Linked DNA regions of Oryzias latipes. The protein of the gene in region 1 interacts with the protein of each later gene in a pairwise test. Links are inferred from orthologs where the notes say so. Each region holds a gene or a part of one and is shown in the gene's direction. Other genes may lie near its edges.

Region 1 (3,512 bases):
TGTGCCCAACTTTGCAAAAAAATCGTATTACATTTAGTTTTACGTTTAACACGTCTGGCTTGAATACGACTTTTCTGTCAAAAGTAGGTCACGGGGTCACAGGCGTAAACATGAAGTCACGAAACATCGATACATCGATAAGTGTTCTGAAACTCAGTTATGAGACTAAAATGGAAAAGAACTTTTTAGAATGTTCCTGATCCCAGAACGGGGAAATTCTCTTGTAACCATAGCTCTGTAGAGAAAAAGCAGATCATAATAACGGGGATCTCCAGACACATTTTGCCGTTGCTAGGCAACAACAGCTGATCGAGTAAACAATGCACCGCAGATCGTTTCAGACCCAGAAGGGAGCAGCAGGAATGCCACTTATCTATGAAAAAAAAGAGAAGGATGGAACAAAACAAAATGAGCAGCGAAAGAAGGCTAACTAGCAGCTAACTAGCAGCTAACTAGCAGCTGACTAGCAGCTGACTAGCAGCTGACTAGCAGCTGACTAGCAGCTGACTAGCAGCTGACTAGCAGCCGACTAGCAGCTGACTAGCAGCCGACTATCGGGAGTTAAAAAAAACTGTCAGCAGAATCAGAAAACTAAACTTTCTTTCTGTATCTGGATACTTTTGCTGGCGTATAACATGAGTTGTTCTGTTTTCTCCACACACCCTAAATGTTTTGTATTGTTAATAAACTCCTCGTCTTGTGCTGATGACATCACTGCTGCCACAGGAAGGTTGGTGGCGATCACAGACGATCACTGATCTACGTTTACAGAACATGAATGAAGTGAAGGGAAAGAAGAAAAGCTGCTCCTCAGTGATTGTTCTCATTGCAGAGCCGTCTGGGTTTTCCTGACATTCTTCTAAATGATGTAATATTCAAATGAAAGAGAAGTTGGATTTAAAACAGACATGTCAAAATGTTGTACTTCTTTTTCAAAGTGTGCACAGCGTTCTCTAGAAACAGTCGTCTGACTCGGTAGAACGGCTCCATGTTGGTAACGGTTGCTGGGCTTTTGTGTGTCAGCTCTCTGGAGGACTGCCTGTCGGCTCAGGGCCTGGCTGGAGTGGAAAACCTCAGAGGAGATCTGGAGAAGTCTGCAGTCCAGCTGCAGTGTTCCCGGGCCTGCGAGGCTCACCTCAAGGCGGAGCTTAAACGCACCAGAGAGAGGTAAATGCTGCCAGTACTGCCGACTCCACCGTGTCCACCTGGACTGCAGATGGTTTCTACAAAAAACACAAAGACTTCTGGAAATGAGGAAAAAGTTCCGGTGAAATCCTCTTTACATCCGGATCCAGGAAGAAGTTATCCGTTTAGAGAGAAAACCAAGACCAGTGGATTTTTGCTCTTTCTAGAAGCAGCTAAACCAGCTGTTGAAATGAGGTTTCTGTCAGATTCTTTTGGAGCAGATGAGGATTTTGTGCAGCCCATCATGGAAACCTCCACGCTGCTGACTTCTGGATGTTCACTCTCAGCACCGCAGACATCCAGCATGGACAAAGCTGCTGACAAACCGTCTTTACAGTGAAGCAGACGTCTGGAATCAGACACGTGTTGTCTGGCTGCTGTTTTCTTCACATTATTCATCTGAGTTGTTCCTGCAGGCTGCAGGCTGTGAGCAGAGGCAGAGCTGATCGCTCAGAGACGGAGCAGGAAGTGGCCGGCCTCAAAGCACAGGTTGACTCTTCAGTTGCTGAAATGAAAAAGGTCCAAAGTCTCAGTCAAGCTAAACCTGTTTGTTGTTCATCTGTGGCCGTCATGCCTGTTTACCTCACTGTCGTCCACTGCAGCTGAGGGAGGAGCTTGAACTGGCCAGGCAGACCCACGCCGCTGAGGTTGAGGGGATGAGGGCGGAGGTTGCAAAGATGACCGGCGAGCTGCACCAGCGTGATCTGAGGATCGCCACGCTGAGCGGGGAGCGAGCAGAGCTCAGAGTGAGCTTGACCTCTGACTGCTGTGCAGCAATGACGTCTCAGTTTGTTCCTGAGCAGGAAGTTGCTTCTTGCATGAAGCATTTCTCTTGATCTGGGTCTGGGTTGCTCAGACATTGGATGGTTTCTCCTCACATTTTCTATATCCGTTTGTCAGATGACTTGGACCCAGCTGGAGACTCTGCAGAAGGAGAACCAGCATCTTCGTGACCTGCTGCAGAGACGGCAGCCTTCTTCACCAAAGGTCGCATGGTTCAGGCGTCCCCGACGCAGAGGACAGCGTCTCTGGAGCGTCTCCGGTGATCCAGTCGTAAATGTGCACTTCTGTATCCTCAGAGGGGAGAGGCCCCAGCAGCTTCACTGGGGGAGAAGCACACGGCCTCCAGAGGCAGGCCTGAAGAGGAGGATGGACAGTCGGAACAAACGGACCCTCGGCATCATGCCTCGGAGCAGACGTGCTTGGCTGCTCCTGCCAGGTGGGAGATGGCCGTCGATGATGTCTACTCACAGCTCCAGACTAACAAACCCTGTTCTCCCAGGCTTCAGATAGACACGCAGGCCGTGAGAGCCGAGGCCCCAGAATGCACCACTCACCGTGAGGGGGAGATCCAGAGGCTTTTTAAAGAGCTGCATGCTTTATCTATGTCCCCCAGAGAGCAGCACTGCAGCCAGGACCAAGACTACAGGCCTCCTGCTTCCTCCTCCTCCTCCTCCTCCTCCTCCAGCAGCACCAGTGCTGGACTGACTAGAAGAATCTCAATCCCGTCATCAAGTCCTGGTGAATTTGTTGAAGACAGGCAAAGCATAAGTCCTGGAAACTGTCTAAGCTCAGCATCTAGAGAAAGAAGAACTCTGTCTCCTACTTCAGAGGTGAGACTTCTCAGAATGTTGAACCAGCTCTGGTGTTTTTAGGATCCTCACAGGTTTTTGCCCCTCAGGAGCTTTCGTCACACGGCACACTGTCACATTTCCTGGAGGAGGAGAGCTTCAGGTCCAAGGAGCTGCTGCAGAGGCTGGACGCCCACATCCTGGGAATGAGGGAGATCAACCACAGAACCGTGTCCAAGTACGTGGACCGTGGCGTCAGGCCGGAGTGGGAGCAGACGTCCAGCGAGCGGACCCCTGTCTAATGACAGGGGGGCAACATTCTGACAGAGGCGGAAATCATGTCTCGACACGAGGGCCTCCTGGGGAACGCTTTCAGGAACGCCATCTTCACTGCAGAACAGCAAAATGACATAAACGCTTCAGTTTATTTCATTCTCACATCATCTCTTCAGGAGGAAGAAATGTGCAAGCCATGACGTTTCTGTCAGAAAAAGAAACTTCTAAATGTGATCTAAAGAACCTGGATGCTCCTCGTGGTTCGCTGGTTTCCATGGTGATTTGAAGAACTGTTCTCGTAGTCTTTAAGGGCTTAGAGAAGACATGGTGTAGCCAAACGGCAGATTCTGGCATTTTGCTCACGAAAAGAACAAACTTTAGCTTCTGAAAGCTCTCAGGATGCTGCATGGATCAGAGCTTTCAGGAGAGCCTCCATCCTTCCTGTTGCTACCCCCCCCACTGAAGCCCCCCAGCTTTTCT
Region 2 (4,242 bases), on another chromosome or scaffold:
TCAGTCCAGTTTTCATACAGTCAGTTGTTCATAGGTAGATAGGTTGGTTGGTTGATTGATTGATTTGGTTTGGTTTCTTTCAAGTATTAATTGTAGTCAATACAAGAGAAAAATCACACGGATGTATCAAACTCCTTACAGAGATAATCAACTGCATAGATTCAAACAAACAAACAAACAGAAACAAAGACACACTTAAGACACATTTAAATATAGTGATTATTAACTAAATAGTCAAGTAGAAAGTGATTTAGTGCTAGGAAAAAAAGGAGTTGGAAAAAGCAAATTCATATAATCTCACTCCTATTGAGTTATTTTGTGTGAGAGTTTTGCAGTTTTGGATGATAACGCTCCACCACATGCTGCCAGAATGATCACAACCAGTCTCTAGGCTCATATGGTCTGACCAGCAATGACCCTTGACCTGAACCCCATAGAGCAGGTCTGGGACCAGCTGAAGCAGAGACTCTTTTGTAATAAAATTAAGGGTATTATATTAGTTTAATCTGTGTTCCCCCACACTTCAATACAAAATGTAAAGTACGGTAAAACCAAAGAGCAATATAACACATGCACACTCTGACATGGTAAAATATACTTGGATTTGTTCAAAACAAAAAGGGTCTTGGTTACTTTATTTTTTACATAAAATATGAGATTTCCATGTTCATTTGTCATCCAACATAACCCCTAAAATTTAAATTCAGACACCTGCTCTATATTTATGTTGTCAATGGATAAAGCCACTTCTGTTTTTTCTTTATTACCAAATACCATAAACTTTGTTTTTGTTAATTATAATCAAACCACATTTTAAGTTTCATTTCCTTTTTAACACTTTTAAGTTAGGGTTTTAGATTATCCCTGAACAGAGAAATTTGTCTTCATGTCCAAATAAAACAAACTGCAACAACTTAGAAATACCCCAAACATTTATAATTGAACCTTGTGGAAGTCCACAAATAATATTCATGAGATCAGACTTATTACCTCCAAACTGCACATACTGTATTGTCTGTTTTGTAAATAACTGGTGGGCGATTGCTCTAACCCCATACGCATGCAGTTTAGAAATCGAGATAGAATGATCTATGGTGTCAAATTCCTTCTTTAAATCAATGATAACTTTTAATGTATTTTTCTTTTTGTCAATTGCTGTTGAAATTTCTTCAACTACTTTCATTGTAGCAAAACCTGTAGACCTATTAGAACCAAACCCATAGTGATTCTCACTTAACAAGTTATTTATTTTTTTAACAAAAAAATAAACTTTTAACAATGTCAAAGGAAACTTATATTTATTTCAATAAAATTCAGAGCAAAATGGGAAAAATCACATGGAAATCACATTGTCAATAATAAACTCATTGGACGGCGTCCTGACGTCATCACGTAAGTTACGTCAAAAGACGTACGTTCACGCGGCGGTCCCCCCCGCCATTTTATATTTTCAACAGGCCGAGCAGCCGCAGTACGCAGCCAGCTATCTCCACGTTGTTTTCAGCTCCATTTCCAGCATTTTTATCTTCACGGAGTCTCTTTTTGGCGGTTCTACGTTGAGCCACCGAACCCGCGGACAGTCCCGCTCCTCCTTCAGGTCCATGAACTAAAAGCTGCTGGACTCTGGAGGAGAGAAGGTGAGTGTAAGGGCGCAGTTAGTGGTTAGCTCCATGCTAACGGGAGCGCTACATCCCACGAGCGGAGCAGACGCCTCCGGCTGCCTCCGGACGGCCAAACTCTTAACTTGTACGCAGACCATAACGTGTACTACTGTGGGAGGGGGTTCCTGATGTTCTACTTCTGGATGCATGAAATGCGTTGAACGCGTCCCCCGTCCTGTGGGGAAGTGAACAATAAGCGCGTGAAGCTAGCTAGCTAGTACGGGTATTACGGCTAGCTAGCTAGCTAGCTAGCTGCCCTGACAGCTAGTTTCGCTGCTTCATTGTGTTGCGGCAGATCCGTGTCTGATATCATGCATGTTTTCCTTATCGATCAAGTGAAAGATGACGCAGTTCCTCCCGCCGAACCTGTTGGCCCTGTTCGCCCCCCGGGACCCGATTCCGTTCCTGCCTCAGCTGGAGAAGCTGCCCCACGAGAAGCATCACAACCAGCCGTACAGCGGCATCGCCCCCTTCATCAGACACTTCGAGGTGAGCGTCGCTGTCACGTGCGAGCCTCCGTCCCCCCGATGCCTCTGTCTCACCTTCCTACTGTTTCCCACCAGGATCCTAGAGATGCCCCCCCACCAACCAGAGCCGAGACCCGCGAGGAACGCCTGGAGAGAAAGGTGAGTTTCCTCCCCCCTTTGCACATGTGCTCAAATACAGAACCTGATGGATAAATAAACGGTTTATCTCTGCTTTCATCCAGAAGATTTCATATTTGCGTTTGTTTTGCTTTATGGCAGCTGGCAGTAGCACAGATTCTGTCACATCAACCCAATGAATCATGGGAGATGTAGTAAACTCTGTGACACTGATGCAAATCTCCGGGCTTCATTATTGGATGCACTTTTTACACGGTCTGACACCGGATCCTGCTTGAAGCTACACTTCCACCATTGTTAGCTGGTATTTTGTCAGGGTGAGGAACTGGGGGTGTTTTACAAACTTTTTCCAAAATAAGAGCCATTGGCCTAAGTTGCTGCACAGTAGTGGTGCAGACATTTTTTTTAATCAAAGTGTCTTAAATAGGAAGTAAAAGTCTTCTGTGATCTGTAGTACTCCCAACTGAAACCTGGGCGTATTTCGATGAACGTAGAGCTAATATTCTGGCGATGGAAAATGTTTTTTTTTTTAGAACAAATAGGTGAAATTGAGTAATTTCTCATGGCACACTCAACCATCTCTTTACTATATAAACCTCTAACCTGATCCTGTCTGTGCTGCAGCGTCCACCAGTCGTTACTGTTTGGATCTCTGATTGTGCTGCGTAGATAACGATGGAAGGCATGTATACAGAAAATTAGGATTAAAATTGCATTTGTTAGTATTGTTGTTTGAGAAACTCAACGCCTGGATAGCTCCTTTATCGCTCGCCATTTTTGTTGCACAGATAATGTTATGTTGGGGTTGTAACGTTTCAGTTGAGCGTCTTGAGCCATAAAGGAAATTTATTTGTGAACTTGTGAATTGACTGAAGCAGGAGTTTGGCTGTGAAGCACAGACCTAATGAATGCAGATTCTCAAAGGAGGGGTAGTTGAATTACAGTCCTAACTCCTTCATTCAGCATTTTCTGCCTCGGTGAAAACCTCTCAAGTCTATAGAAATATTATACCAGGCAGGAGCCCAGCACAGGTGCATGCTGGCAGCAGACAAGAAACCAAGTGCGGGATTATGTCAGCTCTGTGCTGATGCTCTGCTGTTGGAGGCTCTGCGGTTGGCCGTCACCATTTTCTTTTCTGTTTCCAGAGGAGAGAGAAGATTGAGAGGCGACAGGGAGAAGTGGAGACAGAACTGAAGCTCTGTGAGTTTGTCACTTTCTTCACGCCGTTCTCCTCAAACGGTGAAAAGCTTTGTGCTCATCCTTCCTGTTTGTTCCATGTCAGGGGACCCCCATAATGACCCCAATGCTCAGGGGGATGCCTTCAAGACTCTGTTTGTGGCACGAGTGGTGAGTATTTGTCTTGGTTCTTCTCACTCCTTGTTCACATCTGGTAATTAAAACCTTTTTGTTTCAGAATTATGATACGACAGAGTCCAAACTTCGCCGTGAGTTTGAAGTCTATGGCCCCATTAAACGGGTAGCTATTGATTATTATTTTTCTGTGTCCAGATTTTCTTCAAAACATGAACCCTTTTGTCTTTACAATGTGAGAAAATTCTCCTGGCTCTTCAAAATACTATAAAAAAAAGTAAAGAGCCGTGCGTGAAGCGTTTTGGCGCCGCTTTGTGCGTGTCGTCGTGCGCTGACTGCATGTCTGCTGCCTCCGCTCTGCCGAGTCTCACCAGGAGTTTTTCTTTTCAGATTTACATCGTCTACAACAAGGGAACAGGGAAGCCCCGCGGCTACGCCTTCATAGAGTATGAGCACGAGCGAGACATGCACTGTGAGTACGGCTGAGGCATCGGCCACCAAAGCCAGTCTGTGTTGGTGTGTGTGGATCAGAGCACTGCTCGTCACTGATGCTTCTGTAAGGAGACCAGCAAACTGAGCTCTGCTCACCAGATCCATGTCTGCTGCTCGTCTGACGTGTGTGTGTGTGTGTGTGGGGGGGGGGGTCTGCTCGATGTGTCGCCGGT

Evidence for each region.
Region 2: the proteins of cep63 (region 1) and snrnp70 interact in binary tests that used the Homo sapiens proteins (3 or more experiments, as listed by UniProt). The link is inferred for Oryzias latipes from reciprocal best matches to the Homo sapiens genes CEP63 and SNRNP70.

Annotation. Positions count from the first base shown.
Region 1 is NC_019862.2:2,679,620-2,683,131, reverse strand, and holds part of cep63 (centrosomal protein of 63 kDa), read left to right. Parts: intron 1-1,023; coding exon 1,024-1,167; intron 1,168-1,601; coding exon 1,602-1,704; intron 1,705-1,787; coding exon 1,788-1,931; intron 1,932-2,085; coding exon 2,086-2,172; intron 2,173-2,264; coding exon 2,265-2,404; intron 2,405-2,467; coding exon 2,468-2,798; intron 2,799-2,866; coding exon 2,867-3,058; 3' UTR 3,059-3,512. UniProt on the Homo sapiens protein: Required for normal spindle assembly.
Region 2 is NC_019866.2:24,779,865-24,784,106, forward strand, and holds the start of snrnp70 (U1 small nuclear ribonucleoprotein 70 kDa), read left to right. Parts: upstream 1-1,432; 5' UTR 1,433-1,637; intron 1,638-1,997; 5' UTR 1,998-2,003; coding exon 2,004-2,150; intron 2,151-2,224; coding exon 2,225-2,287; intron 2,288-3,411; coding exon 3,412-3,466; intron 3,467-3,548; coding exon 3,549-3,613; intron 3,614-3,680; coding exon 3,681-3,743; intron 3,744-3,967; coding exon 3,968-4,049; intron 4,050-4,242. UniProt on the Homo sapiens protein: Component of the spliceosomal U1 snRNP, which is essential for recognition of the pre-mRNA 5' splice-site and the subsequent assembly of the spliceosome. SNRNP70 binds to the loop I region of U1-snRNA.